Linked DNA regions of Xenopus tropicalis. The protein of the gene in region 2 purifies or fractionates together with the protein of the main gene of each other region. This does not show direct contact. Links are inferred from orthologs where the notes say so. Each region holds a gene or a part of one and is shown on either strand. Other genes may lie near its edges.

Region 1 (15,655 bases), on a different chromosome or scaffold from region 2:
GGCACATCCTCCCATTCTACCACTCCCACTCCTGAGTAAATAAGCCCATTAATTGCCTTTCTGTAGCTGTGAATGACTTGCACAAAGCTGGGCATCTGAATGGAGAGCAGAATGGAACCTAGAGATGTGTGGGGCCCTCAGTACCGAGACAGAGCAACAGATACAAAGGAAGTGTCTATAGCACCCAGACAGGTGCCCCCCACCCCCAAAACAGCCCCTGGTTCCTGTCAATGCATAGTGTGCTAAGCAGGGCCCCTAGTTGTCTGGGCAGTTACAACTACACTGCTTCTTTACATGGTGTGACCCAATATGACTGCAGTTATATGGCTGTTACCCCAATGTTTCTATATATCTGTAACCTTGTTATGGGCTAAGGGGGCCCAGCCTGAAGGCCAGTTAGGGGGGATTTGGGGTGAGTGCTTATTTGTGCCCTGGGTACCCCTGGAACTATAGCGGGGTGACTGTTACCCCAATGTTTCTATATATCTGTAACCTTGTTATGGGCTATGGGGGCCCAGCCTGAAGGCCAGTTAGGGGGGGATTTGGGGTGAGTGCTTATTTGTGCCCTGGTACCCCTGGAACTATAGCAGGGTGACTGTTACCCCAATGTTTCTATATATCTGTAACCTTGTTATGGGCTAAGGGGGCCCAGCCTGAAGGCCAGTTAGGGGGGATTTGGGGTGAGTGCTTATTTGTGCCCTGGGTACCCCTGGAACTATAGCAGGGTGACTGTTACCCCAATGTTTCTATATATCTGTAACCTTGTTATGGGCTAAGGGGGCCCAGCCTGAAGGCCAGTTAGGGGGGGATTTGGGGTGAGTGCTTATTTGTGCCCTGGGTACCCCTGGAACTATAGCAGGGTGACTGTTACCCCAATGTTTCTATATATCTGTAACCTTGTTATGGGCTAAGGGGGCCCAGCCTGAAGGCCAGTTAGGGGGGGATTTGGGGTGAGTGCTTATTTGTGCCCTGGGTACCCCTGGAACTATAGCAGGGTGACTGTTACCCCAATGTTTCTATATATCTGTAACCTTGTTATGGGCTAAGGGGGCCCAGCCTGAAGGCCAGTTAGGGGGGATTTGGGGTGAGTGCTTATTTGTGCCCTGGGTACCCCTGGAACTATAGCAGGGTGACTGTTACCCCAATGTTTCTATATATCTGTAACCTTGTTATGGGCTAAGGGGGCCCAGCCTGAAGGCCAGTTAGGGGGGGATTTGGGGTGAGTGCTTATTTGTGCCCTGGGTACCCCTGGAACTATAGCAGGGTGACTGTTACCCCAATGTTTCTATATATCTGTAACCTTGTTATGGGCTAAGGGGGCCCAGCCTGAAGGCCAGTTAGGGGGGATTTGGGGTGAGTGCTTATTTGTGCCCTGGGTACCCCTGGAACTATAGCAGGGTGACTGTTACCCCAATGTTTCTATATATCTGTAACCTTGTTATGGGCTAAGGGGGCCCAGCCTGAAGGCCAGTTAGGGGGGGATTTGGGGTGAGTGCTTATTTGTGCCCTGGGTACCCCTGGAACTATAGCAGGGTGACTGTTACCCCAATGTTTCTATATATCTGTAACCTTGTTATGGCTAAGGGGGCCCAGCCTGAAGGCCAGTTAGGGGGGATTTGGGTGAGTGCTTATTTGTGCCCTGGGTACCCCTGGAACTATAGCAGGGTGACTGTTACCCCAATGTTTCTATATATCTGTAACCTTGTTATGGGCTAAGGGGGCCCAGCCTGAAGGCCAGTTAGGGGGGGATTTGGGGTGAGTGCTTATTTGTGCCCTGGGTACCCCTGGAACTATAGCAGGGTGACTGTTACCCCAATGTTTCTATATATCTGTAACCTTGTTATGGGCTAAGGGGGCCCAGCCTGAAGGCCAGTTAGGGGGGGATTTGGGGTGAGTGCTTATTTGTGCCCTGGGTACCCCTGGAACTATAGCAGGGTGACTGTTACCCCAATGTTTCTATATATCTGTAACCTTGTTATGGGCTAAGGGGGCCCAGCCTGAAGGCCAGTTAGGGGGGATTTGGGGTGAGTGCTTATTTGTGCCCTGGGTACCCCTGGAACTGTAGCAGGGTGACTGTTACCCCAATGTTTCTATATATCTGTAACCTTGTTATGGGCTAAGGGGGCCCAGCCTGAAGGCCAGTTAGGGGGGGATTTGGGGTGAGTGCTTATTTGTGCCCTGGGTACCCCTGGAACTGTAGCAGGGTGACTGTTACCCCAATGTTTCTATATATCTGTAACCTTGTTATGGGCTAAGGGGGCCCAGCCTGAAGGCCAGTTAGGGGGGATTTGGGGTGAGTGCTTATTTGTGCCCTGGGTACCCCTGGAACTATAGCAGGGTGACTGTTACCCCAATGTTTCTATATATCTGTAACCTTGTTATGGGCTAAGGGGGCCCAGCCTGAAGGCCAGTTAGGGGGGGATTTGGGGTGAGTGCTTATTTGTGCCCTGGGTACCCCTGGAACTATAGCAGGGTGACTGTTACCCCAATGTTTCTATATATCTGTAACCTTGTTATGGGCTAAGGGGGCCCAGCCTGAAGGCCAGTTAGGGGGGATTTGGGGTGAGTGCTTATTTGTGCCCTGGGTACCCCTGGAACTATAGCAGGGTGACTGTTACCCCAATGTTTCTATATATCTGTAACCTTGTTATGGGCTAAGGGGGCCCAGCCTGAAGGCCAGTTAGGGGCAGCTGCCTGTGTATCAGCACTAGGCCAAGAGTGAACTGCTCTTTGCCAATAACACTTCTATCTTAGTGCCAGTTGATATTTTGGCTAGCTCCCCACTGTGCAGGAATCCTAACCTTATTCTGTAGAACAATAAAATAAGTGATAAATGTGCCTGACTATGGGACTCACCATATCACAATTTCTAGTCTAGAATGGAGGTGAGGTGACCCCTAGGTCTGCAGAGCAATATTAAGAGGTGAGGGGGCATCTGGGGAGGGGGGATTATATGGGGTATGGGTAACAAGATTAGTACAGACCTGGAGAATGCTAATACCCATTGTATAGCTACAAGACTAATGTAACAATGGCACCATCCAGCTTCAGATGAAAGACCCATTGGTTACACCTTATCCTCCCACAGATGATTATCATTTATGCATTGGCAGCAGGGAGGGAAGAGATTTATTGATTTAACAAGTCGATACAAATGGAAGTTCTTGTTTTACATCAAATAAAACCATGTCCAAGCCGCTCGGGGAAAGGTACAAAGTATTGATACAAGGGGGCCGCGCCTAATCTGCACCTATTGTTATAGGCGTAACTGATGGAAGGCAACTTGCACAATGCCTGTACCAATTACATAGAGATACTGCTATATATATATACTCTATATATATATATATATATACAACTAGTTTATGGTATAGGGGGAAAGGTATAAGGGGATAACGTAATAACAGGTGCAGTCAATGCTACCTGCTGATTGGTTGCTATGGGTTACTAGACCTGAAGAATGTTGCAATTGTAATTACATTGCATTCTTAAACCCCATTAATGCCTCTTGTTAATTGGATGGACAGCTAGCCAATGTGCTTATTTGTTCATATACAGCTTAGAGAGGAGAAATGTGACGGAATGGATGTCTTTGTAGCAGAAGATGGTAAAAGAAATGTGGGTCAGGCAGGGGAAGTCAAACTGCTGAATATGGAATCTGTAAGGAATGTGTTTCCCCTCAGAGGCAGATTGACAATGGCACCTAATTGTTGCCTTGCTCTAGATCATTTACCAGCTAAATAGTAATTATGGGAGTAAAAGGGATAGTGACTGATGGATCTGTGTCTCTTAATGCTCAGTAGCCATGTTACATTGTGTTTACAACTTAAGTCCAAATCCGCAGTAGTTCTTATCGCACCTTAGTTGCTAAAGCCCAAGGCGCTCTGGCCAGGCTTGTTATCTTTTCTAGAGACAAACTACTAGTTGCAGAAATCCTTATTAAACCTTCTTTAACCCCCAAACCTCCTATGTGGCTAGGGTTGTTATTGGTAATGACTTATTACTTATGGGTAACCATCTTCCCAGAGGCTATTATCCCCCCACTGCTACTATAGGCACCATCTCTCCCTACTATACCTGCTATCCCACAGCCCCAGTCCCTTCCCAGAGGCTATTATCCCCCCACTGCTACTATAGGCACCATCTCTCCCTACTATACCTGCTATCCCACAGCCCCAGTCCCTTCCCAGAGGCTATTATCCCACTGCTACTATAGGCACCATCTCTCCCTACTATACCTGCTATCCCACAGCCCCAGTCCCTTCCCAGAGGCTATTATCCCCCCACTGCTACTATAGGCACCATCTCTCCCTACTATACCTGCTATCCCACAGCCCCAGTCCCTTCCCAGAGGCTATTATCCCACTGCTACTATAGGCACCATCTCTCCCTACTATACCTGCTATCCCACAGCCCCAGTCCCTTCCCAGAGGCTATTATCCCCCCACTGCTACTATAGGCACCATCTCTCCCTACTATACCTGCTATCCCACAGCCCCAGTCCCTTCCCAGAGGCTATTATCCCCCCACTGCTACTATAGGCACCATCTCTCCCTACTATACCTGCTATCCCACAGCCCCAGTCCCTTCCCAGAGGCTATTATCCCCCCACTGCTACTATAGGCACCATCTCTCCCTACTATACCTGCTATCCCACAGCCCCAGTCCCTTCCCAGAGGCTATTATCCCCCCACTGCTACTATAGGCACCATCTCTCCCTACTATACCTGCTATCCCACAGCCCCAGTCCCTTCCCAGAGGCTATTATCCCCCCACTGCTACTATAGGCACCATCTCTCCCTACTATACCTGCTATCCCACAGCCCCAGTCCCTTCCCAGAGGCTATTATCCCCCCACTGCTACTATAGGCACCATCTCTCCCTACTATACCTGCTATCCCACAGCCCCAGTCCCTTCCCAGAGGCTATTATCCCCCACTGCTACTATAGGCACCATCTCTCCCTACTATACCTGCTATCCCACAGCCCCAGTCCCTTCCCAGAGGCTATTATCCCCCCACTGCTACTATAGGCACCATCTCTCCCTACTATACCTGCTATCCCACAGCCCCAGTCCCTTCCCAGAGGCTATTATCCCCCCCACTGCTACTATAGGCACCATCTCTCCCTACTATACCTGCTATCCCACAGCCCCAGTCCCTTCCCAGAGGCTATTATCCCACTGCTACTATAGGCACCATCTCTCCCTACTATACCTGCTATCCCACAGCCCCAGTTCCTTCCCAGAGGCTATTATCCCACTGCTACTATAGGCACCATCTCTCCCTACTATACCTGCTATCCCACAGCCCCAGTCCCTTCCCAGAGGCTATTATCCCCCCCCTGATACTATAGGCACCATCTCTCCCTACTATACCTGCTATCCCACAGCCCCAGTCCCTTCCCAGAGGCTATTATCCCCCCCACTGCTACTATAGGCACCATCTCTCCCTACTATACCTGCTATCCCACAGCCCCAGTCCCTTCCCAGAGGCTATTATCCCCCCACTGCTACTATAGGCACCATCTCTCCCTACTATACCTGCTATCCCACAGCCCCAGTCCCTTCCCAGAGGCTATTATCCCCCCCACTGCTACTATAGGCACCATCTCCCCCTGCTATACCTGCTATCCCACAGCCCCAGTCCCTTCCCAGAGGCTATTATCCCCCCACTGCTACTATAGGGCACCATCTCTCCCTACTATACCTGCTATCCCACAGCCCCAGTCCCTTCCCAGAGGCTATTATCCCCCCACTGCTACTATAGGCACCATCTCTCCCTACTATACCTGCTATCCCACAGCCCCAGTCCCTTCCCAGAGGCTATTATCCCACTGCTACTATAGGCACCATCTCTCCCTACTATACCTGCTATCCCACAGCCCCAGTCCCTTCCCAGAGGCTATTATCCCCCCACTGCTACTATAGGTACCATCTCTCCCTACTATACCTGCTATCCCACAGCCCCAGTCCCTTCCCAGAGGCTATTATCCCCCCACTGCTACTATAGGTACCATCTCTCCCTACTATACCTGCTATCCCACAGCCCCAGTCCCTTCCCAGAGGCTATTATCCCCCCACTGCTACTATAGGCACCATCTCTCCCTACTATACCTGCTATCCCACAGCCCCAGTCCCTTCCCAGAGGCTATTATCCCACTGCTACTATAGGCACCATCTCTCCCTACTATACCTGCTATCCCACAGCCCCAGTCCCTTCCCAGAGGCTATTATCCCCCCACTGCTACTATAGGCACCATCTCTCCCTACTATACCTGCTATCCCACAGCCCCAGTCCCTTCCCAGAGGCTATTATCCCCCCACTGCTACTATAGGCACCATCTCTCCCTCCCACCATCTCTGCTTGGACCACCCCTAATGATGACTTGTTTGAGGGTGACTTTTACATCCAGTTAATTCGCCGTATTGTCTGTAAGTGTCTATTTAAAAATAAATCAAGTCCTATAGATCCCATTGTGCTGCCACTATCCTATATAGGCCAGGGCAGGGAAACCCATCTTGGACATCTGAGATAATAACGTCACCGCACTGTTATTACCCTGTGCCAGGGGTCCCCAACCTTTCTTACTCGTGAGCCACAGTCAAATATAAAAAGATTTGGGGAGCAACACAAGCACCATAAAAGTTCATGGAGGAGCCAAATAAGGGCTGTGATTGGCTATTAGGGGCCTCTATGCACCCTATCAGCTTACAGGGGCTTTATTTGGTAGGAAATCTTGTTTTTATTCAACCAAAACTTGCCCCCAAGTCAGGAATTCAAAAATAACTCCCTGGTTTGGGGGCACTGAGAGCAACATCCAAGGGGTTGGGGAGCAACATGTTGCCCCCAAACTACTGGTTGGGGATCACTGCCCTGTGCAATCTAAATGGTTTACTCCCATAGGAGCAGTCTTGCCAAAAGTGGGAAAATTGCCCTTTAATCTGACATTGAGTTGTTGTGTCTGGCAATTAATACAGTGTGAGTGCAGCAGATGATGTGAATAAATAGAGATTATTGTAGCCCTTTCCTAGTTAGTAAACAGTGTTTGCAAAATAAAAGAAACCACAGAGGAGTAACAGAGAGGAAGCAGACCCTGCGGCTGCAGAGAGGGGAGGGGACTGGGCCCATAAGGAACACACCAGGCTTCTGTCTAATAGGAATTATAATATACAGTAAATTGCATATTTAATAAATTCATAGCCAATAAAGTAATCTAGCGTTATTACTGTATAATTATTATGTTCATAATCATCCTTCATTAATATGGCACCAAGATGGCACGCAGCTTATTGCTGAGATTCCCTCCCTGCCCTGGGGTCCGTGCCATCCCATGAAGCTGTGTGAGTGTGGGAAACCATACGGCACAGGGGGAGTATACAGATATATACAGTATATGTGACGGATGGGTTCCCCTTGTGTACATCACATGACTTTACAAATTGCCCCCTCCATACTTGATGGGTATCCTGGGCCAAATGTGTTAGAACTCTTAGTGGGACAGACATTGCAGAACGTGCAGGGGGTTCAATCAGGGACACAGTGGATCCCTATAGAGAGAAAGAGCAGCTGGCAGTCAGGACTAGAAGGTGACAGTGAGATAAGATGTCTCAGCAGAATGTAAATTTTGACCGACTTACTGCCCTTGAGTTCAGAGTCAGACTGGGTCGATGGGGCACCAGAAAAAAACCCTTGTTGGCCTTGCTTGCCCCGACCCGATCCCCACCGGCACTCATCACAAGTCATTTGTTGAAAATATAACATCCAGCACCCATGGAACCACCCCCCACCCGTACCCACCCTGTGGAAAAGCTAGATTCCCAGGTAGCAAAAGCAACAGAGCTTTTGGGGAGAGTGGAGGGAGGGGCTTATAGATTATGGGAGGAGTTTGGGCATTATTTGGGAGTTACTTAGGGGGATCATGCAAGGGACTTTTTTCCCATTGTGACCCCATTTTACTTGTTGGCAGAATTCACCACCTAGAGGGCCCAGGTTACCAGTGGGCTAATAATTGGGGCCTCCTGAAGGAAGGGCCCTGCTAACGTAGTAGTATAGGGAGCCATAACTACTGATATTTATTTATTCCCATGATCATGTCATCTGACTGCTAACTGGCCCACAGCATGGCAAGAGTTGGACAGAGATAGGCTAATTGAATTTCCAGGGCTCAATAGGAAACACACTAAGGTTACAAATCCCTATAATCCCTATGGAATATTACTGCATGAATATTTCAGGGCAGACGGGCCAATGAGATTCCCAGTTGGAACATCTGTTCTTCTAAACCAGGGGTTTCCAACTGAGGCTCAGCTACAATACCCAGCACCCCCCAAGGCCCAACAGTGGTACATTCGGGGGGGGGGATACTGGAAGTTCCATATCAACAGTTGGGTGGCTCCGGGTTGGCCGAGCCTGTTATAAATCAGGACAGAGCGGCTGCGGCAGGGCTATAACATGGGCTCAGGTGTAACATACAGAGAATAATGCAGATAGATGCACCACTATTACCCCCAGTCTGGAAATACAAAATGTAGACTAAATAAAAAAAAAAATATATATATACATTTGTGCCCTTAATAAATTACCAAGGCACAATGACCCACAATTACCCTCACTGGGGCACCACGCCGCAGCCCCATGGCACTTACCCAGTGTGAGAGGCGCAAAGGCATCAGGGTTTGTATTGCATTGGGCACATCCAGCCGCTTCAGGCTCTCCTCCCTCTGCCTCCTGTAGGTTTCTATTCACAAGATGCTGCAGATCCCTTCCAGGCTGCAGGTTATTATGGCCGGCCGCATCTGCATTCTCTCCCTGTGCCTCGGGATTCTCTGTCTCTTCCCAGAATTTGCTTTCCCCCCTCTTTTATGTAACGACTTTTTTGTTGCGTCAGGAGAGTTGCCAGGAAACAGCATAGCAATTCCATCCCAACATCTCCCTTTCTCTCCCCATCTCCCCTATTCATTCAGCCTCTGCTATGGGCACAGCATTGCTCCTCAGCCCCACTCAGCCCGGAGCCCCTGGGTCCTACAGCCTCCTGCTCTCTATCTGTCATTGATGCAATGTATATATATATATATATATATATATATATATATAGGGGGAGATTTGGGGTGACTGTTACCCCAATGTTTCTATATATCTGTAACCTTGTTATGGGCTAAGGGGGCCCAGCCTGAAGGCCAGTTAGGGGGGGAATTGGGGTGAGTGCTTATTTGTGCCCTGGGTACCCCTGGAACTATAGCGGGGTGACTGTTACCCCAATGTTTCTATATATCTGTAACCTTGTTATGGGCTAAGGGGGCCCATCCTGAAGGCCAGTTAGGGGGGGATTTGGGGTGAGTGCTTATTTGTGCCCTGGGTACCCCTGGAACTATAACAGGGTGACTGTTACCCCAATGTTTCTATATATCTGTAACCTTGTTATGGGCTAAGGGGGCCCAGCCTGAAGGCCAGTTAGGGGGGATTTGGGGTGAGTGCTTATTTGTGCCCTGGGTACCCCTGGAACTATAACAGGGTGACTGTTACCCCAATGTTTCTATATATCTGTAACCTTGTTATGGGCTAAGGGGGCCCAGCCTGAAGGCCAGTTAGGGGGGGATTTGGGGTGAGTGCTTATTTGTGCCCTGGGTACCCCTGGAACTATAACAGGGTGACTGTTACCCCAATGTTTCTATATATCTGTAACCTTGTTATGGGCTAAGGGGGCCCAGCCTGAAGGCCAGTTAGGGGGGGGATTTGGGGTGAGTGCTTATTTGTGCCCTGGGTACCCCTGGAACTATAACAGGGTGACTGTTACCCCAATGTTTCTATATATCTGTAACCTTGTTATGGGCTAAGGGGGCCCAGCCTGAAGGCCAGTTAGGGGGGATTTGGGGTGAGTGCTTATTTGTGCCCTGGGTACCCCTGGAACTATAGCAGGGTGACTGTTACCCCAATGTTTCTATATATCTGTAACCTTGTTATGGGCTAAGGGGGCCCAGCCTGAAGGCCAGTTAGGGGGGATTTGGGGTGAGTGCTTATTTGTGCCCTGGGTACCCCTGGAACTATAGCAGGGTGACTGTTACCCCAATGTTTCTATATATCTGTAACCTTGTTATGGGCTAAGGGGGCCCAGCCTGAAGGCCAGTTAGGGGGGATTTGGGGTGAGTGCTTATTTGTGCCCTGGGTACCCTTGGAACTATAGCAGGGTGACTGTTACCCCAATGTTTCTATATAGCTTTGGGGAGGCTGGCCATTGCTGGATCACTAAAGCCTTTGAATCACAAATATTTGATAACTGTTGCCATATATATATATAGGAAGCTCAGCAGAGTATTTCTACATAAGGCAACTGAGCAATACAGACTATTTTGGAACAGACGCCACTTCCAATACAAACAACAGGGTGGTTACTTGGACTCCTCAGAGCAAATTGTTATTCTGCCCTCCCTGGCTAGGAGTGTTTATCTGCCCTGGAGCAGGCATTATCATAAGGTGCCCGCTGGGCAATACTCTGCCCTGTAGCACATACATATATTCCAGTAAGGACTATAATAAGCCCCGGCCCCACTGTGACCTACTCATCTGCCTCCTAATGTCTCTCTCACTGTCCTGTCCTGGGAGCCTCACACACATCCTGCCCCTCGTTGGAAGGGGAGATTGAGGGGTTAATAGGTGGAGTCACAAGAGAGTCAATATATTAATATGTATGATAATCATGGGGTTTTATTCCTGAGTGAGGAACACGAGGAGAGACGTTATGTTTCTAACAAGAACTCACTGTTAGGGCCTTGGGCAGATCCTGAATGCAGAGCTATGTTATAGAATGGTCAATTCTAAGCAACTTTTAGATTGGTCTTCATTATTTATTTGTTATAGTTTTTGAATTATTTTGCCTTCTTCTTCCAACTCTTTGGAGTTTTCCAAATGGGGGTCACTGACCCCGGCAGCCAAAAACGATTGCTCTGTGAGGCTCCAGCTTTATTGTTATTGTTACTTTTTGTAGCGTTCTTTTCTATTCCCCTATTTATCTAAGTCACTCCCTTGTTGCTAAGGTAACTTGGACCCTAGCAACCAAATAACTGCCAAAACTCCAAAGTAGAGAGCTCCTGAACTGAAAATGAAATAACTATAAACTACAAATAATATAAAATGAAGACCAATTGCAAATTGTTTCAAAATATTACTCTCTACATCATACTTTTTCAATTAGGCAAAAATCAATTGCCCCGGGGTACATGGATACATTCCCCATTATCATACGAACAGAGACAATTTGCAATTGGTCTTCATTTTTATTATTTTTGTTTTTTTTTTAATTACTTCAAGTTTATTCAGCAACTCTCCAGTTTGGAATTGCAGCAGCTATCTGGTTGCTAGGGTACTAATTACCTTAGCAACCCGAGAGTGGTTTAACTCTTTTTATTCTTTTTATTCTTAACTTCTTATATTCTATATTATTCTAATTTGAGGTCATTAATAGTAGTCGTCTAAGCATTTCACTGCATATCATAATTGTATGACTGTGTATGTGACAAATAAAATTTGAATTTGAATTTTAACTGAGAGACTGATTATATTTATAATAGGAGAGGACCTAAATATAAAAATAACTCATAATAATGAACTTCAGTTGAAACGTGGCTTACAATTGGCCATTCTGTGCATTCTAAAAGTTAAAGGAACAGTAACACCAAAAAAAAATGAAAGTATATCAAAGTAACCGCCGCTTTAAACATTGAGACCCTGAAATGTAGGGAGTAACCGGAGCCACTTTTGCTACTGAGTCGCAATCTATAGTGACCGAGCAGCGATGCAGCATTTCCCATGGCTCTTATAGAGAAAGTTCCCACCCATTCGCCCCATGAGAAAAGTGATACTTATCTGTGACATGGAACTGTCCCTAATTAATCATGATTGCCTTAATTGCAGGAACATTTCACTCCCTTTGAACTTGGTTATGGCTGTAATGATCACTTCTCAGCCCCAGGAACTGTACATTGTACCATCACCTTCAGGAAAATGTCCCTGGCCCTTTAAGAAGATTAGGGAAAAAGGAAGCAAATAAAAAGGCAAAGTAAAGAAATATTTGGTTATAAATAATGCAGAAATTGAGTTGAATCTTCATGACCCTTACCGCTCCCTGTAACCACTTATACAGCACTTAGAGAGCGTGTGTGTGTTTAATAGGCAGTTAGTGCCCATAGCGATGCACTAGAGAGGGGCCACGGGCCCCCAGGGATGGGGGGGGGGGGTACAGTGCGGCACACTGACTGCTTATTTAGCATCCAAAGACCTTTAAACCAGTGAAAATGTGCAATGAATGGATATTGGGACGTTGCTGAGAGTTCCATTCTCCCTTATACAAAATACAATATTTGGGTAGAGTTCCCCTTTACGCAGAGATAAACAGGGGCCACGTTTATACAGGGTGAAACATTCTCCCATATAAACCAGAACTGTTGCTGCCGGGAAATACTTTATCCGGAGGAGCCTGACAAACAGATCTACAACTGTAAATAAACTATTTTCACTTGAAGGTGTGACCTGCCCTTTAACCTCTTAAAGTGACAGTAGCACTTATAGGTTTGATGTACATTCAGTTATTAAATATGCCTGTCAGTTTGTATAATACTGATGGGCGCTGGTGTAGGTGCAGCCGGGACCTTTGGATATTGCTTTGGGGCAATTAATCACGGCTTTTATATTGTTGCCCAAAGAGCTTATCCGTTTTTGCTGCAGGGATCTGAATAGCTGCCTCCGGGGCTGTAAAGGAATTTTTTGAACAAAAAGATAAAGCAGGATATTGTCCCTATTCATTATTTATGTGACTGGTCTGTTAATAGCTGCTGTGCGGCCGCCCCACACCCCGCTCTGTTAGCTTTCTCACTGGGTGCAAATAGCTCAGGGATCGATGCCGCCTTTGTACCCTCTGTACTTTGAGCTGGGAATATTTTCACACTCATTTTTCAGCGTCTTCTGGGTTTATTCAAAATGTGTTGTGTTTTTAATGCTGTCTCTTGATCAGGTTTACAAGGGCGCCACCTAATGGCTGGATACAGGTACTGCCTGGGGAAATGAATTCACTGTTGGAGACTATACTATTCCCTGATCTATAGTAATAATTCACAGAAATAAAAGATTTTCTGAAAACAGCAGAATGGAATATACAATATGTTTCTGGGTTCAACCAAGGGGGGCTCCCACTCCCAACAGATTGTTTGCATACCTCCCAACATTTTGAAAACAGAAAGAGGGACAAAAATAAATGCTGCGCGGTGAATTTTTTGACCACGCCCATTTTTGAGGCTACACCTCCTAATTACCACTCCCATTTGACTAAATTTGGCAGGTTATTTATAGTTTGAACACATTTGTGGGGGTTTCGGGGTCCTGTTTTATGTGTTATTACAGTTTTGCTAATGAAGGTAAAGTTGCCCTTTAAGCTGTGAGTCTCCGTTCCCCCAAGAGACCTGTTTAGCTTATTAGTTACAATTGTATCTCAGTGCAGGGGGGGCTTTTTACCTTTCTGGGCTCTGCTAAATGCTACTTATTTAATTAAATGTGAGAAACACTGTATCTAAGTGCAAGTGATGCTGGTTAAGATTTCTGGGCTCTCTGCCAAAAGCTACTTTTAATTAAATTTGTATCTTTTTTAGCTTCAGTGCAGGAGATCAAAGGGAAATGAGGGACTTTTCAGTAAGAATCCGGGACTGCGGGCTGAGCTGTTAAAAGAGGGCCCTTGGTGAGTGAGTCTGACCATCCAGCCTGATCAATTTCCATTCTCCTCACATAGTAACTAAGACTAAGGGGTATATTTATCATGCTGTGTAAAAAGTGGAGTGAAGCATTACCAGTAATGTTGCCCAAGGCATCCAATCAGTAATCAGATTTCAACAGTAGCAAAGCATCTATTGGCTGCTATGAGCAACATCACCGGTAATGTCTTACTCCAGTTTTTACACATTGTGATAAATATACCCCTTAGTATCTTACTAAGTATATTAATAAAAAATTTGGCCCCCTTATGTGATTGAGTTTGACACCCCTGATATAAAGCAATCAATAACCGATACAAGAGGGGAAGAGAGCCCTGCCCAAAAGAGCTTACACTCTACAAGGAGTAACATATAAAGCAACCAATAACCGATACAGGAGGGGAAGGGAGCCCTGCCCAAAAGAGCTTACACTCTACAAGGAGTAACATATAAAGCAATCAGTAACCGATACAAGAGGGGAAGAGAGCCCTGCCCAAAAGAGCTTACACTCTACAAGGAGTAACATATAAAGCAATCAGTAACCGATACAGGAGGGGAAGAGAGCCCTGCCCAAAAGAGCTTACACTCTACAAGGAGTAACATATAAAGCAATCAGTAACCGATACAGGAGGGGAAGAGAGCCCTGCCCAAAAGAGCTTACACTCTACAAGGAGTAACATATAAAGCAATCAATAACCGATACAGGAGGGGAAGGGAGCCCTGCCCAAAAGAGCTTACACTCTACAAGGAGTAACATATAAAGCAACCAATAACCGATACAAGAGGGGAAGGGAGCCCTGCCCAAAAGAGCTTACACTCTACAAGGAGACATACAGAGTAACATATAAAGCAACCAATAACCGATACAAGAGGGGAAGGGAGCCCTGCCCAAAAGAGCTTACACTCTACAAGGAGTAACATATAAAGCAATCAATAACCGATACAAGAGGGGAAGAGAGCCCTGCCCAAAAGAGCTTACACTCTACAAGGAGTAACATATAAAGCAATCAATAACCGATACAAGAGGGGAAGAGAGCCCTGCCCAAAAGAGCTTACACTCTACAAGACACCCCTATTCCCTTTGGCACAGTCCCCATCTAATTGTTGTTGCCCCTGGATGCAGGTTCCCTGTTTGGCCCCTGGGGGAGTAATTGCAGCACTGAGCGCTTAGGGTGACAACTCCCAGCAACCCCCGGCAGGCATATTGCCTTTAGTTATTCTCCCTCTAGTGAGTAGTATCCAAAGGGTTAACTGATGGATCCCCTGGAATATCTGTCAGCGATGGATTGAGTAGATAAATAAAGCAACAAGAATTCCTTCAAACAATGAACTTTGTTTATTCTCTCCGGTAGGATCAATACTCGGCTCAATGGTTTATCCAGTATAATTGTATAAACCTTCCCAGGCAGGGTATGATATCAGGCTCAATATAAGTTCTATAGAGTTGGTGTCCCTGCCTTAGTGCAAATCCGCAGGAATCTCACACACTGGGGCTCATTTATCAACACTGGGCAAATTCACCCATGGGCAGTAACCCATAGCAACCAATCAATGATAGACTTTTTTCAGCCAGCTGCATGTAGCGCAATGAATTCAACAATTTGATTGGTTGCCATAGGTTATTGCCCATGGGTAAATTTGCCCAGTGTCGATAAATGAGCCCCACTGTGTCCCTGAACTCAACCACTTGAATCCCTAAGATGTGGCCCTTGTACACAGCAGGGTTCTAACCCTCTGTTTTCCTTGTTGGAGCTTTGAGCTGCTCATACTATCTATCTGATCCTTCCCTCCTGAAGTGACTATTACAGAACTAATCTAACACTAAGGGTGAAGACACACAGTGCTACTTAGTAGCAGCTACTAGTGATGAGCGAATCTGTCCCGTTCCGCTTCGGTCTATTTTTCTTGTCGCCCACGCTA
Region 2 (15,665 bases):
TTCAATTAAACCCTATATTTAATTGCAAATTTTACAAAGACAACATATCAGATGACAAAATGTTGTTTTTTTACAAAATATTTCCTTGTTTTGACTTTGATGCCAGCAACGCATTCCAAAAAACATATTTACATTTTACAATGTTCCAACTTTTTGGTAAGCAGGACTGTATAAACCTGTTTAAAAACAAAAAGGTAGCCATAATCTATACACTATAAATATATACATTTATACTAAAATATGGTGTGTCATGGCAGCAGAAATAAAAATGTATTGAAAGCTCCACTAGAACAGGAACTGGTATGAATATCTAAACATAGTTACATAGATTATGAGGCTGAAAAAGACATATCCAGTTAGATGCCAAGGTTATATAAATGAATAATATACATGTTCTGCAAAATGCTGAAATGTTTTTATTTAATGTTCAGATGAATGTGCTAGGGATCCACAGTGGAGACTAAGACAACTACTGAAGTACAACATAACATTTTGTTCAGTAGCGCAAATGCTGAATGACAGTAATGTTCTGCCTTACGAAAATGCATTCATCATAGAAAAAAGTTAACTGCCTTCAGCATTAACACGTGGGAATTTCAGCGCAATAATTTTCAGGCACCAAGTAGAACAGTTTCTGAAAGGGACATTGTGATATGTAGTAAAGGATACAGACATTGGTATGACTTTGCCCTAGGAAATGACTGAGCATACTGAGCCCATTTACCTTATTAAATATTAAACCTATTCCGATTGTATCCACTTTCCACCTTGTGCTAAAAGGACCCCACTCACTGCTTTTTACTTTAGAGGGTTTTGGAGAATAAAAAGCAGCAATTTATTCACACTTAGGTTAGCAGGCTACCATTCAAACCATTGCTAAAGTTAATGACAACTTTGCATCACAACAATAAAAATTAATCGAAATAAATAGAAAATGAGATCAAGTGCCAAATGTACCACAATACCACTATCTACATTGGTGGATTCAAAAATGTGGGGCTGGCCTCCAAAGATGGCCCCAGCCTGGGTTAGTCCAAGAAAGTCTTGTAACTTTGGCTGTATTACTAATGTTTTTCTCTGTTTATATATTCATATATTGGTATGAGCTCAAGGGAGCCCTGAACAAATGCTGGACTTTAAAAGTGGTACTTAAAACAAAAACTCATACCAAAAGTTCAATTTATGGTGAGCTGACCAATAAAGGCTAAAGCCACATGTGGCAGATTCTCAGCTCGCGTTTACCCACGACTGTATCGGCCCCAGGTGCAGACACTCAGCACTTACACTCAGGCCAAGAATCTGCTAAATGTGGAATTAGCCAAAGAGGACTGTCATCACAAAATAGACACAGTTAAGAAGTGAATTAAAAAGAACCTTGCTGCCTCTCTCAAAACAGATGCAGTCAATCTAAACTATTTCTGTCACCAGCACCATTATGGATTATCCACAGATAACTACTTTCTTAACATGACCCTGCTGTAGGTATAGAAAACCCCTGCCAAAATACTAGCTGAGACCACCAGCTCTTTTAGGTTAACCCTAATTTCTGTCACCAATATGCCAAGCCCATACAATCTTTGAGGGTTTCTTACATCATTACAGCTACCCATTACACACCTATATTCATTAAATTTATAGTGCTCTGGAATCCATTTTTTAACAATTGGTCCCAGAAGGAAAGGTAGGCTAATGCTTGTTTCAGATACCATTTCAATTTGCTCTGGGGTATACACATGAAAACTCAGATATTACAGTGTCACAGCGTACTCCAAATCTAAGGGACAATTATACCACACCGATTGTCCCTAAAAAGGACAGGAATACATGGATAAGACATCACATAATTTCATGGTCTTCTATTGATCAGTTGTTGAAAGAAAAAACATAGCAATAACATACATTTTATTAACAAGTTAAGCAAAAGAAGTGTTCATATAACCAGCCACACACCCACAGGCAATAAGTTTATGGCTAAGACTTTTTGGGAATAACGGCTTCAGTCACAGTCTGAACAATGCCCCTAGAAGGCTATGTTATAAACACTGAAACACAGAATTTGACAAGAGATACAGACCAGTTGGCCAGTCAACCTAAATGTTTCTAAATGCAACTAACATATATATACGGTGTACAGACACTAAAGGCTTTGGAAACATATGTATAAAAGCACAAACTGCACTTAAGAAATTAAATTTATTTTAAAAATTTGCTGTTTTTGGCAAAGCTTTTCTCCTAACAAGTGGCTGGTACCCAAAGGGTTAAATCACCTATGCAGAAGTATGCTTTTAAAACCTTTCAGAAGCCTTCTGCATAGTGTGCCGTCTAGGTGAGTGCTGGAAGAATGAATAACCATCCTCAAGCACAAAGTCAATGCTTTCATATAGGTATGTTGCCCTTCTCAGCAATATAACAGGGAAACAATACATTCAATAAGTTATACCACCAAGATGTTTTTACAATATTCCCTGCTGCAAGTATACTAGCAAGAACATGGTACTGGAAAAGGCTGGGCCTGACAGTATTAGGATAAAGGGCACTAGGCTCTTAAAACCTTTTTTTTCCCTTAAAAACAGCTTATTTGAAAAAAATTAACTCAATTGTGAAAAAGCTCAAAGACTCATTTTATGTACTCAGATAAACTTCAGTCACACTTTACTGCTGAGCTGCAAGGAGTCGATCAGCAGAACAATGGGAAGGTAGCAGCTCCCAGTAGATATCAGAATAGCACTCAAAAGTAAGAAATCAAAGTCCGGCTTGGGGGAGTAGGAGAAACAATAGGTTACCTGAAAGCAGTTCTAATGTGTAGCGCTGGCTCCTTCTGAAAGCTCAAACTCAGGCACAATGTGCTGAGATGGCTGCCTACACACCAATATTACAACTAAAAAAAATATACATTTGTTGTTCAAGAATACAATTTTAAATGGTAGAGTGAATTATTCGCTTTGCAAACATTGTAATTTAGAAATAAAAAGTACACCAAAATATCATGACAGTATCCCTTTAACTTGGACTCAAGAGTGCAAAGTACAGGCAGACCTCCATCACTGTTCAAGGCCTTTAAAAGAACTCATGAATCCAGATTGCATTACCTGCTCAACCTAAAAAAGGTTTTGTCATCCATAAACCCAATAAATTATTTGCAGTTTTAAATTCCTATTAGAGTTCTTCTTCCTTCCCTTCGTTTCCTAATTGGCATAGCTAAACTAGCAAAGGGTACTCCTAAGGAAGGTGCCATACCCAACACTATTTTACTCTACAGTCAATTGTGACTCCTTTTGGTTGGCTCATCGCATAGCAACTATACAGATACCAATCCTCTATGTTACATTTTGGGGCAGATTTATCAAAATATGAAATTAGAGCTCACCACAGTAAAATTCACTCACTTTCTATTCATTTCTATGGGATTTTAAAAAGGGTATTTATCAAATGGTAAGTTCTAACTTTCACTCATTGATAAACATGCTTCTAAAATCCTGTAGGAATAAAAAGAACATGGGTAAATCTGCCCCTTAGGCCCACGACATACAGAAGCTCTGTTCATTTTCACTGCAAATGTGGCATTCAAATTCTGCATATTTCTTTCTATTTGAATACAGTGAAAATGTCAATCCACCTTATTTTCAGCCAAAATTGTTGTAGAGAACAGGGGAGTGTATTTGCATTTTCACAAAATAATTCAGGACCCAATGGGGGTGGGGAAAGACTTATTGCAATTTTTGCACATTTTTTGATAAATATGTGGCAAGCAATACTCTCATAGGAGCAGACTGGCACTACAAGATTATATCACACACAAGTGTCCGAAAACATGCAAGGATCATGAAAAATAATATTTTGAAATTTGCCCACACGGAAATCAGCAGCCTTCTTTGTTGGCATAATAGTCTTTACACAATGGAACTAGCATGTTTACTTCACTGTGTGATCACACACCGTAGCATCTGTAGTTCAGCAACACCATTTTAAAAAAGTCTGTATTTCTGGTTTTTTAGCTTGTTTACATACATTACCCAACATGTTTTATGTTGATAACCATCTTAACAAAGAACATATGCCTACAGGGTATATTTTTTTTGCAAACTACATGCAGGTACAACTGGTTGTAGGGACCACATTACCGATACAAAGTTGACTTTCAACAAAGTCTCTTAAATTTGATACTGCTTTTAAAAGGAAACAACTTTAAATAAGGAAAGGGTCATTACTGCAACATTAAAAACTTTTAAATATATTTACATTTAATGGCTGCTTCATTAATACTAATAAACAGACTAGGTCCCCATTTCTCTGTGGGGATGCACTTGCAGGCTCCTCAAATGGAATTTGTAGGCCAAATAGGGTAAGATATGGAGTGAATGCTTAGTTTCTGTCTGTGACACTTCTGTAACATGATGATTGTAAAGACAATTTGGAATATACTTTCAGCTTCCTATGAGCTAATCTGTCATCTTGAGCTTCCAGAGCTATAACATCACAAGTTTGGATTCTGTTCCGCTAAGCAATAAGAATTCAGTCAAACTTGAATCCTGCAAAGCACTTTGTGATTTGGACAAATCCCTCCAAAAATTCTGGATTTGGTGCTTTAAAAGAGACCTATAACATAAAACAGAATATTAACAGAAATGTTGTATTTTACTGAACTGAGTGTCCCAGCTCATAGGTTCATCAGCTCAGTAACCAGGCCTTCGAAGTTGTCCGCAGGAACTCCCCATCTTTGATTTTGTTAGAACATAGCATTATACTGCTAAATAACATTAATGTATTTAGGAGGTAGGTTTAATCTTTAGATTTGAGTAGTTTTATGCATATCAGATAAAGGTCTCAGCAGTCAGCTTCTTGCAGTCATGGCTTATTCTTAGCCATATAAACAGGAAGTAAAAATTTCCTGCTTTCAGCTTGTTTTTGAGAAGGATTCCTACAGAGTTTGCCACATGTAGCATCCACATCGATCAGGCTCCAAATGTTTATTCAATTACTATTAAAAATTCACATTCAGTTTGGTCTTCAAAAAGGAAAATACATTAATAAGTCATCCTGCTTTTGGCCTGGATATATTTTCCATTCTATCAGTAAGTTGAGGATAAGTTTTTTTTTTTTATCTGTATTGCACAGCTCAAACTAAATTATGCAGGCTCATGTAGTGGCTATAGATCTATATATCTATATATATATATCTATATATCTATATATATATTATACACGCACACACATACAAATATGCAAAGTATCTGGAATCACAGGTTTGAAGTTCATTACTTTAGCTCATATAGAAATGCAGTGGAGTGGACAAGTTGCTCTTTCTGTCCTCTGTATTGCTTTTGTATATAATGAACGTCAAAACCTTTAGAGAAGATCATATATTTAGAGTTTGCGCTGCTTGATCTAGCAGGAAAAAGCTGGAGAATCACTTCTGTATAGCAAGTAGTGTGCAGCAGTTTCCAGCACAGTGCATTAAAATGTAAGGCTCATAGACTGGAGCAGCTGTGGGGAGCATGACTGGATACCACAACTGATGCTGTTTGCAACTCACATGCATTCCACAAGGATGTTCTCTAGAACTGGGATGGGCAGGAAGAGGAAGAAGACTGGTTCATGTGATCCTTTAAGACTACAGCAAAGACATACCTGAGATCATTTTAACTTTATCAGAAGTCTTCTAAATATTATTTGTGCCCAAAGCCTGTTCTACATAAACATTAGGCGCTTCTGAATTTAGTGGTATTTTATAATCAGCAGCAACAACATTTCTTTCAATTGTCTTACACTGCCATCAAATGTATAAATATTAGCCTACTGGATTAAAAAACATACAAATTCAGAGCAATCATTCAATTGAAAAACCTTTACCTGTCCAGATGGCACCACCAATGGAGAAGTTATCCAACACACCACTGACTTAATATTTTAACCTGATCTGGTCCATGGCAGTTTACTTTTGCTTGATTTATATCAGAGGTATTCCCTGTCAATGCTCACATTAATACCCCCCCCAACACATCCTGACATAACTGAGAGAAGAAAAGCTCAGACTTATCTCCTCTCCCAAGACAGCAGCACAGATACATATGTACATCACCCTGATTACAGGCACTCTACATGCAGGATTTAAAACCAATAATCTCATTAACAGATACAAACTGGTGTGTTCCTCCATGTGTTCCTTATGTGGAGACTCGTGTTTACAATGGTTTAAGTCACTGACGGTAAAAAGAAACACAATTTCCCAATTTCTAAACTTGGGAGGAGGGTCTGTCACATGTTGTTCAGTAAGACTATAAACCCCAACTTTTATATGCAGAATATTAGTTGTTGACTGGTTTGCCAAATGGTTAGCAGCAAATGGATTAAAGTGCCAGGCTGATAAGTGGAAGCTAAAGCCTTGGTTTTATAAACAATAACAGAGTTAAAGGGAGATGCCCAGCCTTTGGCCCTCCAGCTGTTGCTGAATGACAAAAGCCTGCAACCCCTCCTCCCTGGTAAAGAACTGCTGGGGGTGTTGTTGAACACAATCTGGGGACAGATAACTGTTTATCTAAACCCACACACTAGCATAGCGAGCCACCACTGAAGATCCTGGGATACACTGCAACCAAGCTAATTTGCCAAATAGATATTCCATGGAGGCCTGAATACTACTACATCCATGTATAAACTGTTTGCATGCACTTGGTCACCTTTATACCAAAGTCTGCACGGCCAAATAATCCTATAGTCAATGCTGTGGAAGTCAGAATGTGTGTGCATGGGTTGTGCAACATTACAGTGCCCGGATCCCTTTGCCCAGTGCCCGGATCCCTTTGCCCAGTGCCCATGGTGATGCCCACACTCACCCCATTCCAGGAACTCGCTGACATACTTGTCCCTGCGGAGGGTGGAATGGCTGCACTCGGTATACAGGCAGAGAAGCACATCCAGCAAGGTCTCCACACTCAGGGCCGCCTCGTTCCTCTGGGGCCCATCCAGGAGCAGCTGCTCCAGCTTCTTCAGCCTCACTTTGGCCGACATCTTCCCGTGGCTCAGCGAGCAGCCTAGCTAAACTAAGCAGGTTATGATAGTGAATGGCGTTGCACTGCTGCCAATAGAAATGGCAATTTGTAGGGTGGCTCCCCGCACCCTGAGGACACACTAAGGCGTTCTTCCCCCCGGCTGCTCGCTAGGACCTATCCAGACATGGCAAAGGCTCCACAAGACACTATGCAGCTCCAAGGCCCGCTTGGTCCATGAACAGGGGACGAGCCCCCCACCCAGTCCGGCTGTGCAGTATCCCTCTCCCCTCAGTTACAAGTTAGTTAGCCGCTTGCTGCTGCTTTACAGCGTAACCGGCGGAGATCATGGCCGCCCCCACTCCCTGTATTCTTCAATGCTCCTCCTTTTCTTCTCCTCTTTGGCTCGGGATCACGGAGCAGAACCGGGAGACGAAGCCCTTCCCACCGGAAAGGGAAGGAATGTCCCGACTGACGTCAGAACAATGTTGGAAGAGCCCTCTTCCGGCCAGGAGGCAGCACTGCATATCCATAGGGAATAAAGACTTTCACTGGAGTACGGGCAGCAGATGGGACAAACTTCATCTTCTCATACACACCCGAAGGCATTGTAGTATTTGTGCCAGATGGAAAATGGGATCAGTCAGGCAGTGACAGGCAGTGATAACATTCCTATTTAATCTATAGCTGCGCGGAATATGGGGCATCATACATGTCGCATAGGAACAATCAGGACCCGCTGTTTTCATCATTCTACCTTTTTTGCCGCCTTGTTACATACTAAAGCATTTCATAATTTGTATCATCTACCTTCTACCTTGGTGCAAATTACCAGCATTGATTCTAGGCCAAGGAGCATGAAACCTGAGAATAAAATCCATGACAGTGGGAATCATTCGTTGTTTTAAGGGGAACTAAACCAACTTTATTAATGCTGTGCTGATTTGTTACTTTGCCTCTACTTCATGTAGAAATCTCAAGTCACTAAGGGGCACATTTACTAACCCACGAACGGGCCGAATGCGTCCGATTGCGTTTTTTTCGTAATGATCGGTAATTTTGCGTAAAAACGCGAGTTTTTCGGTGTCTTTACGTTTTTTGCGTAAAAACGCGAGTTTTTCGTAGCCATTACGAAAGTTGCGCAAAGTCGCGATTTTTTTTTGTAGCGTTAAAACTTGCGTGAAACGTTGCGCCTTTTAAGTTTTAACGCTACGAAAAAGGCGCGACTTTGCGCGCAAGTGTTAACGCTACGAAAAAATCGCGACTTTGCGCAACTTTCGTAATGGCTACGAAAAACTCGCGTTCTAACGCAAAAATCGTAAAGACGCCGAAAAAATCACAAAAAAATACGAAAAAGTCGCAAAATGTTCGTTTCCAATCGGAATTTTTCCAATTCGGATTCGAAATCGTGTCTTAGTAAATCAGCCCCTAAGACTGAGACAACCACCCTAAATTAATAGGCTGTAGGAACAAAAGACAGGAAAAACCACTAATAAATGAAAATAAAAGGTGTAGATAATTCATATATACACTAGAAATTAACATTTTTATAATGTTCCCATGCAAGCAGAGAAAATATTTCTAGAATTAAACATGTTTTTCTGATTGTGCAGACATTATGTCCATGCTATATACACAACTTACAGTTTTGAAAGAAAAAAAAATCTGTCTTTCAGTTGCTGCCTGTTCTGACATATTTACAGTTGGGCAGAAACACAGCAAAATCTACCTAGAGCTAAGAGCCCTATATTAGGCCATTAAATTGTGCATAAAAGCTTATGGAAATATGCCAGTATTTGCAAGTGCTTGAACAGCTAAAATTATTTTTTTATTGACAGAGCCAGCTTTTTTGGTATTTCTGCTGCCCCACTTTGTAGTTTTTCATTTTCTCATTTAGATTTTGTAGGGTACCAGTCTTTTACAAGGTTCTCACATTCCATGTTGCTGTTTACATATTCATTCTGCTGTCCACAGTGCACCATAGAGACAGGTTTTTTTCTGGCCATAGGTTAGATGGAGCTTTTCTTTGTTTAGCTTTGCTTTAGCAACCGGTCTTCTAATGCATCTTTGCATAACCACTCCCTATCTTCTTAGGCCACAGATCTGTTGTAAGCAGGTCCAGACTGGGACTGATAATAGGCCCTGACAATTAAAGTACACAAAGGCCAAAACAGACCCCCCCCCCCCCCCAGCTCAATATATAGTGTCTGTTTCTGTCATCTTACAGCAGCTCCTCTGGCATTTGCCAGAATGTACAGTTTGCCAGTCCAGGCCTGGTTATTAGCCTTTGTGGCCACAGCTTTGTCTGAAGATTCCCTTCACTTCTCTCAACTCTACATAAAGCCCACAACTGATTGTATTTCTTTTCTGTTTAGCTCTGCATTTTGATTTCAGCTCTCAATACAGTTATTATCTGCCAAAAAATTGCTAAAACACACCCTATTACTCCTTTTACCCATATCTATGCAGTCAGCACCCCCAAAAACATTTCTGCTTTTTTGTCTTCATCCCTCCACTAACTTTATATCATGCAGAATATTTTTTTGCCATTCCTACACATTCAACACATCCTTAGTAATTCTCTTGCATATGTAGGTCAAAGATAATGTGCATCTTTATGTCTTGATCTGCAAGACAAACTGCCTGGAAATGGCACATATTTTTTGTGTGCTATATAATTTTATTGCAGTCACATACAAGTGTTGCCATGGGTTTGTAAAAAGCAGATTTAAATAGATCAAAGACAATGAGATGTATCTTATGGACAACAAAATAACATAAGAATAGAGTTACCTTTAGGCAATATACTTGCATAATTCAATGAACAGAAGGAGTAATGGAAGGGTAGAGTCTTCCCCAGAGGGAGGAAAAATATGCCAAGGGTTTCTCCCCATCTGCTGAACTAATGGCTGGGAAGTCATAGATTGTTTGCATGCTTTAGGATTTAAGATTATTAAAGGATGGGACAGAGGTTATATGGATGTATAGAATCACAATGATAGATTATGGAAACTTTAAAATCAGATTATGCTTTTATATAAAGAATATAACATTGAAACCTATTTTTTATTCCTGTTAAAAAACAAAACAAAAAAAAACAAAGTGAGAGACATCTGTGCACCTCAAAGAATTATTAATGTGGCTACTATGGCTGTTATTACTTTGCAGCAATGACAATTATGAAAGCAGTTTCACCAATTTTCTGCATGTGCAACATCATCTTGGTGGTGATACAACCATGTCACTATGCACACAAACAAATATCTTCCTTGTAATTAACTCTGTCAGATCTTAATTCCAGGTATGTGCAAACTTCATCAGTGCATAATTAATCATTTTAAATCCGTAAGAAAATGTGTATTCTGGGTGGTTGTGTGACACTGCAGTACAAAACTAAATGCTTACCTGCAAATTGAAAGGACAGTCATAGGTTTACATTCTCCTCAAGGCATGACACACATGTAAAAACACAATCCCTGATTAGACAAATAAAATTAATGGTTTGCTGTGGTGTAAAATATAAATGCCTATTATTAACTTGGAATTATAAGTGCAATTATGGTATAATTTGAATCAAGGCACACAACACGATGTAAAAGTATTTTATAAAAATGGCTTTGGCCCATTCTGTTTAAGAAGTCAGTTGGAGACTGATCATTGTTCTCTTTTAATATAAAAACAACAGTCCGTCTATGTAGGGATATAAGTAAAATACCTGCAAAGATAAAAAGCCATTGATCCAGACAGATAAGCAGAAGAGGGAGGTTAATAATTTAAACCTATGAAAATTAAAGACCAATTTGATAATAATAGGCCATTCTGTATCTTACTAAAAGTTAACTTTAAGATGAACTACCCCTTTAGGTGAAGGCACACAGGGTGATTAATCGCCACAACTTTTTAAAAAGTCAGTCAGAGTAATTGCGATGACTTAACCGACGTAGGTTTCTATATAAGTCGCTGCTATTTGTTTTTAATTCGTTTTTTTAAAAAGCCGCGGCTACTAATCACTGCATGTGTCTTCACCATTAAGTTGAATTAGATAACAGATAAGGAAAAATTAGAGTCTTTATGTACAGAAACAAAGTATGTTCTTACCACTGATCTTTTGATAAATCAGCCAGGAAAGGGAGTTCTAGGAAAGGATGTGAGAGAATAAGAACATGTATTTATGGCTTTACTAGTGTGCTGTAATGCTTTTGGCTCTATGTCCACTTATCAGTGCTAGCCAGATAGTCAGGGTCAAGCAGTCTGCACCTTCGTGCAGGCATTCCTGGTCAATGGCATTCAATTACTAATACATAGGGAAAATTACAAATTTAAATTAAATATAGTTGAGTCAATAGAAAATAGCATTCCACTTACTGACTCATCTGCTTCAGCTCGTAGCATCTGGCTAGATTTGCATTCTTTTTAGACAGATTTGTAAACAAGCCAATTACCATAAGTGGTTACTCATATTAGAAATGTGATTCAGTCATTTCTCTATCGTGCTCATCTAGTCCTCTAATGCAAGTTATAAGGCTTAGATTCATTACAAGGAGACCAGTTATATGCACTACATACTGATATTCTCAGAATGGGTCATTATGGGCCCTCTGTGATAACCACTGCCTAATATTACAGCACATCTGTATACATCATACATTAGGGTGGGCAGTGCCTCAGATGATGATCTTGTATGGGATTACCTGATCTGTGGAAGCAGGGGTGGCCACTTTATTGTGGGTGGCTTGTTGTTAAGAGCTATTGTATGGTAAAGACATAAAGTATGTTTATTTATATTATTATTATTATTAACATTTATTTATAAACATATTCCGCAGCGCTGTATAATAAGTGGGTTTCATACATTGGACATACAGAGTAACATATAAAGCAATCATTAACCGATACAAGAGGTGAAGAGAGCCCTGCCCAAAAGAGCTTACAATCTACAAGGAGGAAGGGTTGAGACACAAGGTGTGGGAATGGGCAAGACCAGAGTTGTGAGAGGTGTGGCACAGGGTAATGCTTTTAGCAGCACACTGAGGTTATGTTAATCTAGATTAGGGTAAACTTCTCTAAATAAATGTGTTTTTAGAGATTTCTTGAAGGCAGAGAGATTGGGAGAAAGTCTGACAGTTTGTGGGAGCGAATTCCAGAGAAGGGGGAAAGCCCTTGCAAAGTCTTGAAAGCAAGCATGTGAGGAAGGAATGAGAGAGGAGTTGAGGAGCAGGTCAGTTGAGGAGCAGGTCAGTAGAGGAGCGTAACAAGCAGGTTGGATGGTACCTAGAGATGTAGGGTGGGGCAGAGTTATGAACTGCTTTGAATGTGAGAGTCATTAGTTTGAATTTTATCCTGGATGGTAGGGGAAGCCAGTGCAGGGATTGGCAGAGTGGCACGGCAGAGGAGGAGTGGTTGGAGAGGTGTATGAGCCGGGCAGTAGTATTCATTATGGACTGGAGTGGGGACAGACTTTGGAGGGGAAGGCCAATTAATAGGGAGTTACAGTAGTCCAGGCGAGATATAATGAGAGAATGAATCAGAATTTTGGCAGCATCTTGGGTGATAAATGATCGTATTTTGGAAATATTTCTTAGGTGAAAGTGACATGATTTGATAAGTGACTGGATATGAGGAGTGAAGGACAGGGCAGAATCAAGGATAACCCCAAGGCACCGGGCCTGGGAAGATGGGGTGATGGTAGAATTGTTAACCTTTATAGATACCTCGGAAACAATGTGGGCATTGGATGGGGGAAAGAGAACCAATTCAGTCTTAGAGAGGTTTAATTTAAGGTAACGTTGGGACATCCAAGTAGAGATAGCAGACAGGCAGGAAGAGACACGAGTTAGAAGCTCTGGGTTGAGATTAGGAGAGGAAAGATAGATCTGAGTATTATCAGCATAGAGGTGGTACTGAAAGCCAAAAGAATTGATTAATTTGCCAAGTGAGGAGGTATAGAGAGAAAATAGTAAGGGACCCAGGACAGAGCCTTGAGGAACCCCAACAGAAAGAGGCAAGGGAGAAGACGATTCACCATTGTAAGAGACACTGAAGGATCGATCTGAGAGATAAGATGAAAACCAGGATAAGGCAGTGTCACGAAGGCCAAGAGAGCAGAGAGACTGGAGGAGAAAAAGGTGATCCACAGTGTCAAAAGCAGCCAAGAGATCGAGAAGTATTAGTAGGCTTTGACTTTAGCCGATAGGAGGTCATTTGTTAGTCGGGTTAGAGCAGTTTCGGTGGAGTGTTGTCTAAAACCAGGAGGTTATTGTCAGAGAGGAATAGCGTCAGTTGGTTGTAAACTAGGCGTTTGAGCAGTATGGAGATGAATGGGAGCAGAGAGATAGGTCGAAGGTTACTAGGATTGGAGGGATCAAGGGAAGGTTTTTTCAGAATAGGGGTTACAAGTGCAAGCTTCCAGGGCCGGCCTTACCAACTGCGGGGCCCAATTGGAACCATTTTTGCGGAGCCTCCTTAGTACATTGTGAATTATGCTTAGTGCAGAGGATTCCCTATGTTGCCATAGTTTTATAGTTTTTTAGGCTGTTCCTTCTGAATTGTGCTTAATACAGGCACAACTCCCAACATTTTAAAAATGTAAATAGGAACAAAAACCTTTGCCGTGCGTAGCGCGACAAAATTTTTTTTTTCCATGCCCATGGAAAGAATGTAATTTGCCCTTTAGTGTACGCCCCTTCCCAGACTCACCCAACACTAGCAGAAGAGAGCAGCACTGAGCAGCGTTCATGTGGCTGTCATATGGAGCAAACTTAGGGGGCTGTTCCTGCTGAATTGTGCTTAGTACGGGGAATCCCTATGCTGCCATAATTTTATGGTTTCTCTCTGTACAGGCTATGAGCAAACTTAGGGGGCTGTTCTTGCTGAATTGTGCTTAGTACAGGGGAATCCCTATGTGCCATAGTTTTATGGTATCTCTCTGTACAGGCTATGAGCAAACTAAGGGGGCTGTTCCTGCTGAATTGTGCTTAGTACAGGGGAATCCCTATGCTGCCATAGTTTTATGGTATCTCTCTGTACAGGCTATGAGCAAACTAAGGGGGCTGTTCCTGCTGAATTGTGCTTAGTACAGGGGAATCCCTATGCTGCCATAGTTTTATGGTATCTCTCTGTACAGGCTATGAGCAAACTAAGGGGGCTGTTCCTGCTGAATTGTGCTTAGTACAGGGGAATCCCTATGCTGCCATAGTTTTATGGTATCTCTCTGTACAGGCTATGAGCAAACTAAGGGGGCTGTTCCTGCTGAATTGTGCTGCTTTTAATCAAGGAGAATGGGAAATGGCTCATAAAAAGGCACTATAAGTAGCAATATAACATAATCATTGGAAAATTCCTACTCCCCCATTTTACTGCAGTTAAGGTGGAAATGGTGCTATGTGTGCCATTGTCCTTGCCCAGTTATAGATCCATCCGATGAAAATACTAACTAAGGGGCCCTGCACTGCACTGAAAAACAGTAGCTTTCACTCCCCCCTCCCTTCCACCCACAGACATTAAAGCTCCGGGGCTCATTTATCCCCCCGCTGAGTTAAAAAAAAAACAAAACATGTGCATGGACTTCTAGTTACAAATACCTCTTATCGCATCAACACCAGAGGAGAACTCCTTCACAGGAGGCTGTGCGTGCATGTCTGCCTTTGCATGGTGAGCGCAGTGGTTCAAAGGTCATGCCCTGTGTCCAATCGCATTTCAGTACAGCCCCCTGTGAAGGAGTTCTCCTCTGGTGTTGATGCGATAAGAGGTATTTGTAACTAGAAGTCCGTGCAGGTGAAAGGGAGGGAGAGAGGGGAGAGTTAAAGCTATTCTTTTTAAATGGAGCGCGGGGCCCTCATTGGCGCGGGGGCCCGATTGGGCGACCATCAGAAATCACGGGGCCCCTCACAACAAAATTTTCTGGGGCCCCCCTCCTCCTCCTATGCCCTGCCCCCCAATGGCCCCTCCCATCAGTACAAAGGACACACAGACATTGGTAGCCAGGGCCCCCTAAAACATTGGTAGATAGGTGTTACGTTTTGCATTGTTGCCAGGGCAGGGACCCCCTAAAACATTGCTCCCTCCCAACGTCCTCCAGCTCCCCCAAGTATCCTCCCCAACATCCTCCCCCCTCACAACAAAATTTTCTGGGGCCCCCCTCCTCCTCCTATGCCCTGCCCCCCAATGGCCCCTCCCATCAGTACAAAGGACACACAGACATTGGTAGTCAGGGCCCCCTAAAACATTGGTAGATAGGTGTTACGTTTTGCATTGTTGCCAGGGCAGGGACCCCCTAAAACATTGCTCCTTCCCCAGCATCCTCCAGCCCCCCCTAGTATCCTCCAGCGCCCCCCAGCATCCTCCCCAACATCCTCCAGCTCCCTCCCAGCATCCTCCAGCTCCCCCCTAGTATCCTCCAGCTCCCCCTAGCGTCCTCCCCAACATTCTTCAGCTCCCCCGCAGCATCCTCTCCAGCGTCCCCCTGCGGCTCCCCCCGCTTCCTCAGGCTGCATCCCTAGGCTCCTCGTCTGTCCCCCGGCTGGCAGCTGCAGCTATTCTTTTATAAGGTTGCACCCCGTGCGTGCTGACGTCACGCGTACACATGGGGCGCAACCAATCGGAATACGGAGGACCCGGCGTAACAGATTAAAGGGGGCCCGATCTACATAGCGCGTCCGGGCCCCCTTTTGAAGTCAAAAT

The links.
Region 1: the proteins of cdc42bpb (region 2) and fam167a purify together in Homo sapiens (co-immunoprecipitation; 3 studies listed by BioGRID and IntAct, counting the BioPlex papers as one, with this or other methods). This does not show direct contact. The link is inferred for Xenopus tropicalis from reciprocal best matches to the Homo sapiens genes CDC42BPB and FAM167A.

Annotation. Positions count from the first base shown.
Region 1 is NC_030681.2:150,802,084-150,817,738, reverse strand, and holds the start of fam167a (protein FAM167A), read right to left. Parts: upstream 8,967-15,655; 5' UTR 8,648-8,966; intron 39-8,647; exon of another isoform or gene 1-38.
Region 2 is NC_030684.2:97,959,606-97,975,270, forward strand, and holds the start of cdc42bpb (serine/threonine-protein kinase MRCK beta), read right to left. Parts: upstream 7,508-15,665; 5' UTR 7,009-7,507; coding exon 6,834-7,008; intron 1-6,833. UniProt on the Homo sapiens protein: Serine/threonine-protein kinase which is an important downstream effector of CDC42 and plays a role in the regulation of cytoskeleton reorganization and cell migration. Regulates actin cytoskeletal reorganization via phosphorylation of PPP1R12C and MYL9/MLC2.